Arabidopsis thaliana: one gene and its partners. The protein of the gene in region 1 interacts with the protein of each later gene in a pairwise test. Each region holds a gene or a part of one and is shown in the gene's direction. Other genes may lie near its edges. The genes, in order: LHW, BHLH32 and AT1G68810.

Evidence for each region.
Region 2: the proteins of LHW (region 1) and BHLH32 interact in a two-hybrid assay, tested with the Arabidopsis thaliana proteins (one study listed by BioGRID).
Region 3: the proteins of LHW (region 1) and AT1G68810 interact in a two-hybrid assay, tested with the Arabidopsis thaliana proteins (one study listed by BioGRID).

Annotation. Positions count from the first base shown.
Region 1 is NC_003071.7:11,648,479-11,654,715, forward strand, and holds LHW (transcription factor-like protein), read left to right. Parts: upstream 1-1,880; 5' UTR 1,881-2,251; intron 2,252-2,338; 5' UTR 2,339-2,416; coding exon 2,417-2,511; intron 2,512-2,969; coding exon 2,970-3,249; intron 3,250-3,360; coding exon 3,361-3,420; intron 3,421-3,498; coding exon 3,499-4,524; intron 4,525-4,616; coding exon 4,617-4,718; intron 4,719-4,791; coding exon 4,792-4,905; intron 4,906-4,985; coding exon 4,986-5,111; intron 5,112-5,212; coding exon 5,213-5,362; 3' UTR 5,363-5,665; downstream 5,666-6,237. Other genes in the region: AT2G27229 (Pentatricopeptide repeat (PPR) superfamily protein), read left to right, coding at 705-1,079. UniProt on the Arabidopsis thaliana protein: Transcription activator that regulates root development; promotes the production of stele cells in roots. Coordinately controls the number of all vascular cell types by regulating the size of the pool of cells from which they arise.
Region 2 is NC_003074.8:9,367,576-9,372,098, forward strand, and holds BHLH32 (basic helix-loop-helix 32), read left to right. Parts: upstream 1-1,923; 5' UTR 1,924-2,022; coding exon 2,023-2,511; intron 2,512-2,975; coding exon 2,976-3,521; 3' UTR 3,522-3,912; downstream 3,913-4,523. UniProt on the Arabidopsis thaliana protein: Transcription factor required for MONOPTEROS-dependent root initiation in embryo. Transcriptionally controlled by MONOPTEROS.
Region 3 is NC_003070.9:25,859,383-25,864,141, forward strand, and holds AT1G68810 (basic helix-loop-helix (bHLH) DNA-binding superfamily protein), read left to right. Parts: upstream 1-1,711; 5' UTR 1,712-1,906; coding exon 1,907-2,521; intron 2,522-3,008; coding exon 3,009-3,500; 3' UTR 3,501-4,152; downstream 4,153-4,759.

The DNA of each region.
Region 1 (6,237 bases):
AGGCTATCTACGGTCCATCTTCCCGCAGAACTTTCATTATCCTTTTGTAACATACTGGCAGTTACATTTAAAAAAACTGTCAAGATTACTTGAAATCATTCGGTGTGGTGCCTTCTAAAAACCTCCCAATGCTCAAATTATATCTTTATTTTATTTTATTGTGGTCAAAGTATTACGATGTTCTTTTAGTGATTCAGTATAATGTTCATAGTTTTTCTGTTAAAAATATCATAGTAATTATAGATCGTTTTTATGGGGAAAAAAAAACTTAGTACATAGTAAAAGTAGTTAATAATCTATTAAAAAATAATATGGTTTGGACCTTTTTGCACCCACTAAAATATCAGTATATAACTAAGTTAAATCTTTAAATTAGTAATTACGAATTGCTTGATGTTAAATTAAAGTGTTAATGAGTTTTTCAGAATTTAATTTAACATGATAAATAATAAAATAATCTAAATATTAAAGAGTTTATTAGAAAATAGGCATTTGTCTTGGTTATATATTTATTTTAAGGTATTTCCTTACATGATTTTCGAAAGAGGTACTTTTCTCTTGTGAAAAGTCATCCTTATCCTCCTCTCATTTGCATTATCTTTTACCCAATTGAAGCAATAAGTCGTGTCTGTTTCCTATATTCGATATTTGCATCACCAATTGAAGCAATAAATCGTGTGTGTTCCCTATATTCAATTGAAACAATGGCGATATATGCATCATCTTCTAAATCGCCACTCCTGCAAAGACAACAACTCGGATTTTCAAGAATCCAAGTTTTTATATGGAAAATCACTGAGAGAGAGATCATTGTGAGGGATTTAAACCGGTTTCATCATTTCAAGAATGGACTTGTGGTGATTACTGGTAATTTGAAAAAGACAGGTGAGACGATATTCAAAAACCGGTTTCAACTCATTGTTATTTGTGAACCGATTTATTCTTGGTATAGGAAGACTCTGGGTGGGAAAAGATTCCAACTTTGCTTACGAAGGTTAAGTCGCAACAAAGAAAGCTTCTTTATTTCCGCCATGGACACAGCCTATCGTAGTCATGTGGACAGAACTGAAATTCTCTAAAATCAGAACCGAAATTCCACAAAATCAGAACTAAAGTTCCATAAAATCTATAAATTTTTTCGATTGGGTTCCCTATATATTATCTTAGGGTTTAGTATTGTGTAATTAAAAAGAAAAATTAAGTTTGCTTGAAAAACAAAGAAGAAATCGATTTAATCAGATTTTGCAACTATGTTCGATAAAGAAGAAGAAGAAAGAAGACGATGAAGAAGAAGAGAAGGAAAAAAAGACAGGGACAAAATTGTCCCGATTGAAGCAATAAATCGACACTGTTGTATTCAACTGTGGAAAATACCTATTTTGAAATAACTTTATTTAAAATGCCTATTTTAAATATAAGCTCAATATTAAACACCTTGAACTTATGTGTATTTATTATTTGTGTGTACGGGAAGCAATACCAGAAAATGAAAATCTCTTTTATTTATTGACAATCCATAATCCTACAAATCCTCTAACTTCTAGACTTATGCCGTTATTAAATATTTTAATATATATATATACATATATATTTTTAATAATTATATTTAGGAACGTCTTTTAATTTATCTCCGAGGGTACACTTTTTTTCTTTATCTCTTTTGTTTTTATCTAAAAACAAACTTTTAGGATATTACCTCACGAAAAAAACAATAAATTATTCGTCTAGCACCATCGGAAAAAGACAAAAGACTTCGACTACCCCACTCAGTGGCACAATCCTGTAATTTCTACTAAACATTGATACCCTTTCTCGAATTCATCGTGTTCTTTGTTTTTAATAAGATGGTACTTTTTCCTCATTTTTCAATCTTTTTTTCACCAAGAAGCAGAGAAAAGAAACATTAAAGCAGAGAAAAAACAAAGACAAATAATCTCCATTTGCTTTCTTCTCCATCTTCTTCTAATTTTCTTCAAGTTTTATCAATGGCTGGTGTTACTGGAATCTTAAAGCTTGAAGCTTGGAGCATCTTGTGAAGAAGATTAACTAGTTTCTTGTATTTTTCTTTTCTGGGGTTTTGAGTTTTTTTTTCTCTTCCTTATTACCGGAAGTAATGGCATGTCGGAGTATGATCGCTTTTAGTTTAGATCCTGAAAGAAAACAAAGTGGAGGACTTAGGACAAAACAAGCTGGAAGAGGATCTTGCCGTGGAAGTTAGTCTTTGTTCAAATCCATTTTCCTCTTAAAGAATGTAATAATGGGTTTTTATTGATTGTTGTAGATTTGTTAAAAAGTTTTGTTTTTAGACCTAAAGTTTCGATTTTTTTCTTCTGGGCAGTTTGAAATTGCACTGTTGCAAGTGAAAAAGTTTGTTCTTGTTGGAGCTTAAAGAAGAGAGAAGAGAAAGAGAAAAGCTATGGGAGTTTTACTAAGAGAAGCTTTAAGGTCTATGTGTGTTAATAATCAATGGTCTTATGCTGTTTTCTGGAAAATTGGCTGTCAAAATTCTAGGTACCACTCTTATTCTCCTAATTCTAATAAAGTGTCAAACTTTATTCAGTCAAATATATTCAGTGTTTGTTAGTTTAAAGTTTGAGAATTTTTTGATAAGGGTTTAAAACTCAGATCTCGAGGATGACTAGAATTATTTATCTCTGTTTAATTCTTGGAGTTTTGTGTTTGGTTTGATCTTGTTTGTCTTAAAGAATCTTTCGATTTGTAGTTGTTTTGTCGACAATAACTATATCCTTATTATTTGTTTATGAATTGTCTAAAGAGTTCAAGTTCTTTAACTCTCTTGTCATTTCAATTTTTATTTCTTGTCTTTGTTCGTTTTGTCTTTGTTTAGCCCAAAATCTTTTGTAATCGTCTTTTTGTGGTATTCTAACTTAAACGATTGTTGCATATTTTTGTCATGTGTATTCTAATTTTTTTTTTTTGATGTGTTTTTTTTACTTGTTTTTGTGCAGCTTGTTGATTTGGGAGGAATGTTACAATGAAACCGAATCGAGCTCGAATCCTAGAAGACTTTGTGGACTTGGTGTTGATACACAAGGGAATGAGAAAGTTCAGTTGCTTACAAACCGAATGATGTTGAACAATCGAATCATTTTGGTAGGTGAAGGTCTAGTTGGCCGAGCTGCATTTACTGGACATCATCAATGGATTCTAGCTAACAGTTTTAACCGCGATGTTCATCCACCCGAGGTTATTAATGAGATGCTTCTCCAATTCTCTGCTGGTATTCAGGTTTGATACTTTCTTCATGTTTTGAACATCCTAAGTTAGGCTTCTTTAGTGTATATATATGTTCAAGCTCATAAGAACTGTTTGTGTGTGCTTATTTTGTTTGTTCTTCAGACTGTTGCAGTTTTTCCGGTTGTTCCTCACGGTGTTGTTCAGCTCGGTTCCTCTCTGCCTGTAAGTTCAAGTTACATTGTTATGTGAAGTGAGATTCTTGTTCTTGATTTAACTGTGAATTGTTTTTTGTGTGTTCAGATTATGGAGAACTTGGGGTTTGTGAATGACGTGAAGGGTCTTATCCTGCAGCTCGGATGTGTTCCGGGGGCTCTCTTATCTGAAAACTACAGAACATATGAACCTGCTGCTGATTTTATTGGAGTGCCAGTGTCTCGGATAATACCTTCTCAAGGACATAAGATCCTCCAATCTTCGGCTTTCGTAGCTGAAACTAGCAAACAACATTTCAACTCCACTGGATCATCAGATCATCAAATGGTTGAAGAATCTCCCTGTAATCTTGTGGATGAACATGAAGGAGGATGGCAAAGCACAACAGGATTTCTAACAGCTGGAGAAGTTGCAGTACCTTCAAATCCAGATGCGTGGCTGAATCAAAACTTCTCTTGTATGTCTAATGTGGATGCAGCAGAGCAGCAACAAATCCCATGTGAAGACATCAGTTCGAAACGCTCGCTTGGAAGCGACGACTTGTTTGATATGTTGGGTTTGGATGATAAGAACAAAGGTTGTGACAACAGTTGGGGAGTTTCACAGATGAGAACAGAAGTACTCACTAGAGAGTTATCCGACTTTCGGATCATTCAAGAAATGGACCCTGAGTTCGGTTCTTCGGGGTATGAACTTTCAGGAACAGATCATCTGTTAGATGCCGTGGTCTCGGGTGCTTGCTCCTCCACAAAGCAGATCTCAGACGAAACTTCCGAGTCCTGCAAAACCACCTTGACTAAAGTTAGTAATTCTTCGGTTACCACGCCGTCTCACAGTAGCCCTCAAGGTAGCCAGTTATTTGAGAAGAAACATGGGCAACCATTGGGGCCATCATCGGTCTACGGGTCTCAGATAAGTTCTTGGGTTGAACAAGCGCACAGCTTGAAGCGTGAGGGCAGTCCAAGGATGGTGAACAAGAATGAAACTGCAAAACCGGCTAATAACCGGAAAAGGCTTAAACCAGGAGAGAACCCAAGACCAAGGCCTAAAGATCGCCAAATGATCCAAGATCGTGTCAAAGAGCTGCGTGAAATAATACCAAACGGTGCAAAAGTAAGTGAAAAACTTATCTGTTCTTGGCAAATTAAACAATCCCTAAGAAAGGTTATTACTAACAAAGAGTACATGTGGTTTTTATTTAACAGTGTAGCATTGATGCACTCCTTGAACGTACAATCAAGCACATGCTCTTCTTGCAAAATGTCTCCAAGCATTCTGATAAGCTGAAGCAAACCGGGGAATCCAAGGTATAACATAAAACAATAATATTTTGGTGTCTCTCATGGATTCTTGATCTAACGTTTGTTGTATTGTTATAAGATTATGAAAGAGGACGGTGGAGGAGCAACATGGGCTTTCGAAGTAGGGTCAAAGTCTATGGTGTGTCCAATTGTCGTAGAAGATATAAACCCGCCTCGCATTTTCCAAGTCGAGGTAACATTTCTGCCTAAGGTTCTTAATAAAAAACACTCAAGATCTCGGTTTTGATCGAACGTTTTCTGGTTTTGTAACAGATGTTATGCGAGCAACGAGGATTCTTTCTAGAAATCGCAGATTGGATCAGAAGCTTAGGGTTAACGATCTTGAAGGGAGTCATCGAAACTCGAGTAGACAAGATTTGGGCTCGCTTCACTGTTGAGGTATATTATATAAGTTACACAAGGTTGTTTAACTTGGAAAGATGAGATTGTGTTAGAATGTATCTTATTTAAACTGAAACCGGGTCGATATTGGATTGTAGGCGAGTCGCGACGTGACGAGGATGGAAATATTCATGCAACTAGTGAATATTTTGGAGCAGACAATGAAATGTGGAGGAAACTCTAAGACTATTTTGGATGGTATCAAAGCTACAATGCCTTTACCGGTTACTGGTGGCTGTTCAATGTAATGACACAAATTATTGACCGTACCGGATTGCTCCGGTTTAATAAACCGGGCTGGTTAAAAGCTTGATTCATATAGAGGTTACGAGCGGACCGCTCTCAAGGATTTTAGGCTCGCTATGACTAACTAAAAAGTCAGTCTAAACCAGAGATGATGATTTTTAAGTGTGTTTTTTTTTCTCAACTTTATGTTTTGTACATTAGTTGCGAATTTTCATTTGTGTGGAATTTTTTAATTTTAATTCAGTTTTGGAGTTGTAAAAAATTTAGTTAAATTGTTTAAAATTATTCTCGACCAGTAAGAGTTCAAACAATTCACGGATTTCAAGACCGGTAAAAAGAACCGGTCCATCAACAGCTTTAACAGTACACAACAAAGCTTCACATGTTACAAGTACCTTTATGTTACTTTGATTAGTAACTCTATGTATATAATTAGCTTATTATTAAAAAAAAAAACACAAGAAGCTCTACTTTCAATAAAACACACTCTTTATTAAGAAACGTGAGGCCTATAGAAGAAAAGCTAATAATAGTTAGTTATAATACTTTTGTTAACAGCCTTATAATGTGCTATCATGTGAATTCATAATCTCTAATGGATGTCTTAATCCATTCCTAATATTTACATTTTCTTCATACTACTAATTAGTGGATCAAACTTAGTCCAACATCAAATTCTCAAAACTGCGTTTTTGTTTGTTGTCTCAAAAATGCTTTATTTACACTTTTGAGGTACCTAAACTTTGCTGCAAAAGGTGCATGAACATCTTTGTGTCTTGCTTTAGCCATCTCTCCACTCTATAGATTATGATGGGATAATCGACAGCACATTATGATTCACTAAAATTCATTATATTTTTCTTGGGCCCTTCAATTT
Region 2 (4,523 bases), on another chromosome or scaffold:
TTTTTCCACTCCTTTTCATTATATATATAATGATATAAGTCTTTTTACCTCTTTTTCATAAGTCTTTTTAACTCTTTTTTTCTTTAAAAATGATTATATGCACATCTACTTGATAAACTGGCGGATGGTAAACTTGAGTTAGGTTTGAGAATTTTCACTAATTATTTTAGGATTTGAATCTTCTTTAGTATGAGACAATTAAGCTAACACACTCGAAGATATATTCAGATCATAATCAAAATTTATCCGTTGGATATGTATGAATAGATTAAATAAAAGAGAGAATCTCTTCGGTGCACTTGAGACAAATCTATAACATAGAAAATCTTGATTAGATTAAAAACTAGATTAAAGAAGGAAAGAAAAACAAGAAAGTGGGTTTGGCTATACGAAACGAGTGGGATTATTAATGATTAAAAGTAAAAGTCTTTTTGGTCTCTGGTCGGTCGACAATCCGTGTGTCCTGTGGTCAGTGTTTGTTTTTTATTCTTTTGGTTAATTTTCGAGTATTATTATGCTTTCCACTGAAAAAACAAAAACATTAAGCAGCCAAATGAAATTCTTTTAACGCGTTGTTTCAGAACCTGATGAAAAAACAATAATCATGACCTCTTTCTTCTTCCCCTTTAAATGCATGTCAAATTGTGTAGGAGTGTTTGATTATATAAATTAAATCTACTTTAGTCTTCTCTTCTTTGTAGAATTGTAGAGTCGTGGTATAAACTCGAAAATTTCTTATTATACTTATAGAAATTAGGCAGACGAAATGCTCTTGATTTGCTTACAATCTTAGATTAGGTTTAACCCAAGATAAAAAAAAACTTTGTTTTGATGAAGAAAAACACCTTAGTTACAATTTTGGACATCATCTTTTATTTTCACAGTTAGCATCTGAGACTTTTTTTTCTTTTCTTAAATAGAGTTCTTAGACAATATCTTTTGGGTCCCTGATCATGTCAAATGCCAAAAAAATAAATAAGTATACATGATTGTGTCTATTTGACCATTCTAACTTCTAAAAGTTTCAAATGAAATAACTTTGTCAACTATTATTTTTGCCTATGAATTAGGTGCTGACCAGAATCATCTTGCTAAAATCATGATTTTCTACTATTGCATATTATTCTTGATCGCATTTCACAGATCTTAATATATACGAAAATAACTGTATATATTATCAACTGTTACGATTAATATATAACCATGCATATCGAAATATTTTGAATTAGTATTTTTTTTGCTAAATAATATTTTGATATAGTGGTGGCGTGGTATTCCTCATTTACAAATCGCATGAACTTTATCCTAAATACGATTAACTTAAGTAGAAAAGGCACAAAAATCTTCTATTCATTAACATGAAATCAATTCTTAAGAACATAAATAAATAATAATATTCATAGGAAGCCAAATCCATCAGAGAAATCCACAAGATGATGACAGCTCCCCATTTAGAAGTCGTAAAAGAAAAGCAAAGAAGATGTGCAGCACTTGCAGTTTCATTTGTTTTGTTAGATATACCAGAAAAAAAAAAAGAGTGGTCCCATAAAAACCTGTAATATATAACATTTTAATCAAAGAAAATGATAGATTTTTTTATTAAACAGGAAAAACCACTAACTTTTAATTAAAAAATTTGGAATACAGCAATACATCAAAAATCCATTAACGGTACATTATAGTTGAAAATAAATTCAGGTTACATAATATTTTTTGCGTAATCACTATACTATTCTGCCATTTTATATGGAACTAAGTTCATACGTTATTTCTCACAATTCTCCTTGATGTGATCAAAGATAATGGCGGTCTGATTGTATAACCCGGTGAAAAAGGTTTTTTGGAAAGAATTCTTTAATATTAAAATATCAAATAAATTTTGTTTAAAAATTAAGGACACATTATATAGCACTATATATACACATGTGTATGCATTATCAAATGGGATGTTTGTGACCTTTTGTCTCTTCTTCTCTAAAATTCTCTTTCTCCCAAAAACTAAAAAACCAAAAAAACCAAAAAATGTACGCAATGAAAGAAGAAGACTGTCTTCAAACATTTCACAACTTACAAGACTATCAAGACCAGTTTCATCTTCATCATCATCCACAAATTCTCCCCTGGTCGTCGACATCTTTACCTTCTTTTGACCCACTCCATTTCCCATCTAACCCGACCCGTTATTCTGACCCGGTTCACTACTTCAACAGAAGAGCTTCTTCTTCCTCTTCTTCTTTTGACTATAACGACGGTTTTGTCTCTCCTCCTCCTTCCATGGATCATCCTCAGAACCATCTAAGGATTTTATCCGAAGCTCTTGGACCCATCATGCGTCGTGGCTCGTCCTTTGGGTTCGATGGTGAGATCATGGGAAAATTGAGTGCACAAGAAGTCATGGATGCTAAGGCTTTAGCTGCTTCAAAGAGTCATAGTGAAGCTGAGAGAAGAAGACGAGAGAGAATCAACACTCATCTTGCTAAGCTGCGTAGTATATTACCAAACACAACCAAAGTAAGTCGTTTATAAATAAACACTCTTCTCCTTTCATTATGGTTTGATATTTCAGAAACTAATTCACTATTTTGAAAACCCTATGGAAAAATAGTTTTAATTAATTAATGATCCTTCAAAATTTCTCTTTATTTAGTTATTATTGGTTAGAGTAGTAGTAATTGTTGTTGTTTTTTAATAAAGAGAGTAGTAGTAATTGTTCTTTTTCTGATAAATATAGTACTAATTATTCAGTTTCAAAAATGATAAGTACTATATTTTTCAATATTATCATTTTTATCTATCTCTGTTCAACTATTATCGTTTAGTAGTTGTAAATTTTCAAATTTAAAATAAATGTATCAAATCGATATTTTTGGTAAGTAATTATAGTCCACAGATGGGGTATTTTTGTACTAGTTATTATTATTGAAGAAGAAGAATAAGAAGATTAAATACTTATGATTCGTTTTGGTTTTGTATAGACGGACAAAGCTTCTTTGCTAGCGGAAGTGATCCAACACATGAAGGAGCTAAAACGACAAACATCACAGATCACCGACACGTATCAAGTCCCAACAGAGTGCGATGATCTGACCGTAGATTCGTCTTACAACGACGAGGAAGGAAACTTGGTGATAAGAGCATCCTTTTGCTGCCAAGACAGGACTGACCTCATGCATGACGTCATCAATGCCTTAAAGTCTCTTCGTCTTCGAACTCTCAAAGCTGAGATCGCAACCGTAGGTGGTAGAGTCAAGAACATCTTGTTCTTGAGCCGAGAATACGATGATGAAGAAGATCATGATTCATATCGTAGAAACTTCGATGGTGATGACGTGGAGGATTATGATGAAGAGAGGATGATGAATAATCGTGTGAGTTCGATAGAAGAAGCGTTAAAGGCGGTTATAGAGAAGTGTGTTCATAATAATGATGAAAGTAACGATAACAATAACTTGGAGAAATCATCTTCAGGGGGTATTAAGAGGCAAAGGACTAGTAAGATGGTGAATCGATGTTATAATTAGTTAATTAAGTCAAGTCTTTATTAACTAGGGTTAGTTAATTAGACTTGCAAAATGGGATTTGATTATGGGTTGGTGATATTAGTATTATTTTCGGTGTTTTTAGTAGTTGGGATTGGGTTTCTTCTTCTATGTTTTTTTAATCTATGAAGAACCCTTTGTTTAGGGTTTTATAGTGATGAGTTTGGTTTATATATGGTAGTTAAGACATTTTATCGTCTTAATTAATATAGGAAATGTATAGAGCTTGGGTTTGTATTAATTTATCAAGAAGTTTTATTTATCATATTCATGAACTCTGCAACTATTTAATCTTTTGTTTATAAGCAACAACACTACGTAGTAATAGTATAGAGTATAGTTTTATACTTGTCAATTTATTTTCTATTGTGACTGATATAAGAGAAATGACATAAAGAAATCTCTTACGCATATCCATTGTTATTTTTTCTGACAAACTACAACGATTATGTCGAAATCAGTTTTTAAATGTGCATGGGAGAAATAGTCTATGTCGTACTTACTCTATAATTTATTTCCTCAGTTTCTACATATTTTTTAAAACCACAATTTTTTCTTCACATCCGATATATAATTAATGTGATATTTCTTAAATTAGATTGATGTAGAGAGTTATGTGACGGAAGATTTGTGTAAGTTATATCAAGTGAAATCGAGAGTAGTAGTAGATCGAATCTTTTTCGTGAGAAGTGAAAACTTAGATCTTAGTTCTATTTATAGAAACTTAGTTTTGGGATCTCTGATAATATTGTCTCTTTCGCCGTTACTGACTTACGTTATTTATTACAATATTACAGAGACGGTTGATACCACAAGCACATTACGTCATGATCTCGTCATTTTGTATCTACTGGTTTTTCCTTTAGTCCAAAATTCAACGTAGAACCAAAAAAATGGGCTTATTAATTTGGTGTTTTCTTGAGTCTTATTACTTAGACAGCTTTAGACAAATTCTGTATTCCGGTCCAACAGTCGGAAATTTAA
Region 3 (4,759 bases), on another chromosome or scaffold:
TCCAAATGAAGACCTAGAGCTTGTAAAATATAAATTTTAAATCTAGATATATATATATATATAAAATCCATAATATAAACCTTTTGTAAATTATGTTATAAGTTATAACAATTGTAACTTTAAGACGAGTTTACTATTAGCACTTGACACTAGTATTTTGCAAGCATTTAATTTTATGTTAAATTTTGTTTATTTATAGGTGACAATATGGGTAATCCAGTCCAATTTGATCCATAATGTTTATGGGGTGAATGTTAACTAGGTGAACGAAGAACGTAAGCCATTTAGTAAATAGGTTGACCATATAAAATGTTCTAGTTTCTGGTATGAGGGGAGGTAAATGCCTATTAATCTATCTAATTTGATGGGTCGAAAATCAAAATGATAAAATAGTTCTACCCATAAAATATTTTTGTAATAATTTATCACATATTTTCATAATTAATAGTTATTACAATCGGTATCATATGTGATACGTTCATTGTCTTCACATCATCATCGCATTATCATTTTTATCATCATCATAACATAACGATCATCATTTCATACCATCTCCATTATCATCATAATTTTGAAATCACCTTTATGGCACAAAATTTTGGAATCGTGCTTTTGCAAAACAAAACAAAAATATAGTTTTCTCTGCAAAAATCATGTTTTTACGAAACATTGAATATAGCGGAAAATTGTGGATTTGTGTTTTTAGCAATAATTATTATGAAATACTTTTAGCTGGAAGTTGCGAAATTACATAATTCACGATTCATTGAAATTCAGTTTTTGACCAAAAAAAACAAATTGTGAAATTATATGATCATGATGATGATAATGGGGTATGATGGTGATGATATGATAATATTATGATATCATGAATATAATAAGAAACGAATATCATTTACTTTTTTTTTTAGTTTTTAACAAAATGTGGGTAAATATTGGTGAATCATAAATCTTTTACAATCTAACTCATTTAGCCCATTAATTCCTTATGGTCAGAACTCATTTGCCTTATCAATATAATAGGGTCATAATATTTAGTTATGAGGATTTGAATTCGGATGATGACATAAGGAAACATTAGTATCAATTATTAGATTACATGAATTTGGTTAATATTTGTTAATTAGTATCATGGTTTTATATCAACGAGAAAACAATTGACCAAAAAAAAAAGATAACCAAATCACTATCCTACACAATGTTATGTGCTCTCCCATAACTAGTTAGTGGTCTAATAGAAGACAAATAATCAATTTTTTGTTGATACCTACAAATTTGTAACGTATATTATGTGGTCTCTAATACCTAGTTTAGTGCTATAGCGTAGATTTTATTTATATAAATCAATTAAATCTGTATAGTGCCGACTCATATATTTTCGATGCTCTGAAACAAATTTAAAAGATATGTATTATGTGTCATTTTGTATATATAAATTCTTTTTGTGTCTTTTTATATATACAAATTATTTTTCTGTGTATGGATATTTGGCGATCGCATTGCTTGTCCATATACTTATTAGAAATAGAAATAGAAATAGACCGTGAAGTACTAAATGCGTAAATTAAAAGATAGATAATCTAAAGAATCTTAAACCCATTACCTTTTTTTTTTTACCTTTTTAATAATTCCACCACAACACAAAACACAAGTTGCAAACTCCACATATCCTGCAAACCATTGGTAACAAACAAACGCATGAGTTTCCTATATATGTCTGCGTCTACAACATTTGAAAGCAAACTTTTGTCTCTTTTTAACTCTCTTAACTTTCGTTTCTTCTCCTACCTTCTTTTACCAACCTTTCCTTTCTCTTACACACATATATATATACATATATAGAGAGAGAGAAGAGGACAAAGAGTTGAAAGATGAAGACTCTCATGTCTTCATAGAAACAAGTGATATGTGCGCTAAGAAAGAAGAAGAAGAAGAAGAAGAAGAAGACAGTTCTGAAGCCATGAACAACATACAAAATTACCAAAATGACCTCTTCTTTCACCAACTCATCTCTCATCATCACCATCATCATCATGATCCTTCTCAATCTGAAACTTTGGGAGCATCCGGTAACGTTGGATCTGGTTTCACTATCTTCTCTCAAGATTCCGTCTCTCCAATATGGTCTCTACCTCCACCTACCTCGATCCAACCACCATTTGATCAGTTTCCTCCTCCTTCTTCTTCTCCAGCATCTTTCTACGGAAGTTTCTTCAACAGAAGTCGAGCTCATCATCAGGGATTACAGTTTGGGTACGAGGGTTTTGGTGGAGCCACGTCAGCAGCACATCATCATCATGAACAACTTCGGATCTTGTCGGAAGCTTTAGGTCCGGTAGTACAAGCCGGGTCCGGTCCTTTTGGGTTACAAGCTGAGTTAGGGAAGATGACAGCACAAGAGATCATGGACGCTAAAGCTTTGGCTGCTTCAAAGAGTCATAGTGAAGCTGAGAGAAGAAGAAGAGAGAGAATCAATAATCATCTCGCTAAGCTCCGTAGCATATTACCCAACACCACCAAAGTAAGTCCAAAATTTTTATAACATAAATTTTCATACATAAGTAAAAACATTCATCAATCACACACCGTTTAAGTTTTTTGTAAATAAAAAATAATACTAAAACAATGTAGAGTTTAAGTGGAAAAACATAGTAGCTGCGACATGAAAGTTTATGTCACATTTTGTCTCTTTTTATTTTTTTACATTTAGGTTTTATAAAAGGAGAAGTAAGTTATTCAAAGGTTTTCTGTTTTGATCAATGATCTTGTGGGTATTTGTTAAAGTCCCGAGAGAGAATCAGTCAGAGACTGTAGTATAAATAAAAAAGCAAGGAATATGGAACGTCTATGTCGTCGTTTGGTTAATTGATGTAATAAAGAGAAACAACCGGCGCTGCTTAAAAAGCATAAAAAGTCTTATTGCCGGACCAAATCATAACTTCTACGACCACATAATTTTCTCCTCGAAACTATACAAATATGTTTTTTCTTCGTTTTTTTTAATGCAGACGGATAAAGCGTCGTTACTAGCTGAAGTGATCCAACATGTGAAAGAGTTGAAGAGAGAGACTTCAGTGATCTCAGAGACAAATCTTGTCCCAACGGAAAGCGATGAGTTAACGGTAGCTTTCACGGAGGAGGAAGAAACCGGAGATGGCAGATTTGTAATTAAAGCGTCGCTTTGCTGTGAAGACAGGTCGGATCTCTTGCCTGACATGATTAAAACATTGAAAGCTATGCGTCTCAAAACGCTCAAGGCGGAGATAACCACCGTTGGGGGACGAGTCAAGAACGTTTTGTTTGTTACCGGAGAAGAGAGCTCCGGTGAGGAAGTGGAGGAAGAGTACTGTATAGGGACGATTGAGGAAGCTTTGAAAGCGGTGATGGAGAAGAGCAATGTAGAGGAATCATCTTCTTCTGGAAATGCTAAGAGACAGAGAATGAGTAGTCACAACACTATCACTATCGTCGAACAACAACAACAATATAATCAGAGGTAATCAATTTTTTACTTAAATCGCTTTTTTTTTCTTACTTTCGGTGTATCTACTACGTGTGTTGTTTGCTGGTTATGGAAATGAATGTTGTACGTCACGTTATACTATAGATATATGTGTGTTTGTGTGTATGTATAACGGAAGTATTTGTATCCGTTGTGGTCTTGGACTTTTGGTTTGGTTCTAAGATACTTATTTTTAAAAACTTGTATCGTTGAGTTGGTTTTCTAGATATGCTTAATGGGAGTATGTGACGAAAAAAAAGTATGATTTCTGTAAGGCAATGCATGGGTTTGGAAAATTCGTTTTCTCTTGTCATGTGGGAGGATTTGAATTTAATTTTGGCTTATTTTTGCAATTGTGTGAATGAGACCAAAAAGAGACAATGAAGAAGAACAGGAAACGTACCAAAGATGATGTGTATCATTAATTGATTTAGTCGGGTTCTGTCCGGGGGAAAAACAAAAAGAGACAAATTTGGGATTCTGAGCTTCGTACGTTGATGCTTCTCTGACTCTTTTGCCTTGTGTATTTATGTGTTCTGTAGAATCTTTTTCGTGTAACGATTTACATATATTCAAATATTTTGCTTTATATAAATTTGCATCATGGACTGGTATGAGGTAAACATCGGGACCAAGACTAAGATATAAAGGACGTAGCCAATTAGTTTTTTAGGTTGGTCCATGAAATTTAACATGGTATTCTAACCAGAGTTTTATTTTGTAAGTGTGTTATGTTTTATGTGTTGCACATGAGCACGTCCTTGATCGAAGTATTTAAAATTTGTTATTAAAGAAATGTGTAAATTTATAGGGATGATAAGTGATTGTGATTGAGATTGGTCATGACGAGGAACATACGTAATTGACGTCGTATTTGTGTTAAGCTTGCATCATGAAGTGAAGTACGTCGACGTTATTAATAATTATGATCATTTAGTACTACTTACGTACTATTGTACCCTAACTGCCATTTCATTTGTCTTTTAACATTTTTACCTAAGTGACGGTCATGTGAATTGTCTAGTAGACTAGTACTGACTCCTCTTTTGGCTTTCTCTATAGACAACCTTGAATTTAATTTTAATTTATGTTAATTACGTCTTCATTATCAAACCAAAAACTTAGAAGATTTCTAAGTTTTGTGGAGACTTGCAATTAGGGCTCAGCTGGTCATGTTGTTAGAGCGACATAAAATGAGATGAATTTTATTAGTTTGTTGGATTCTACAAAGATATTGGACTACCTACCATTTGCATT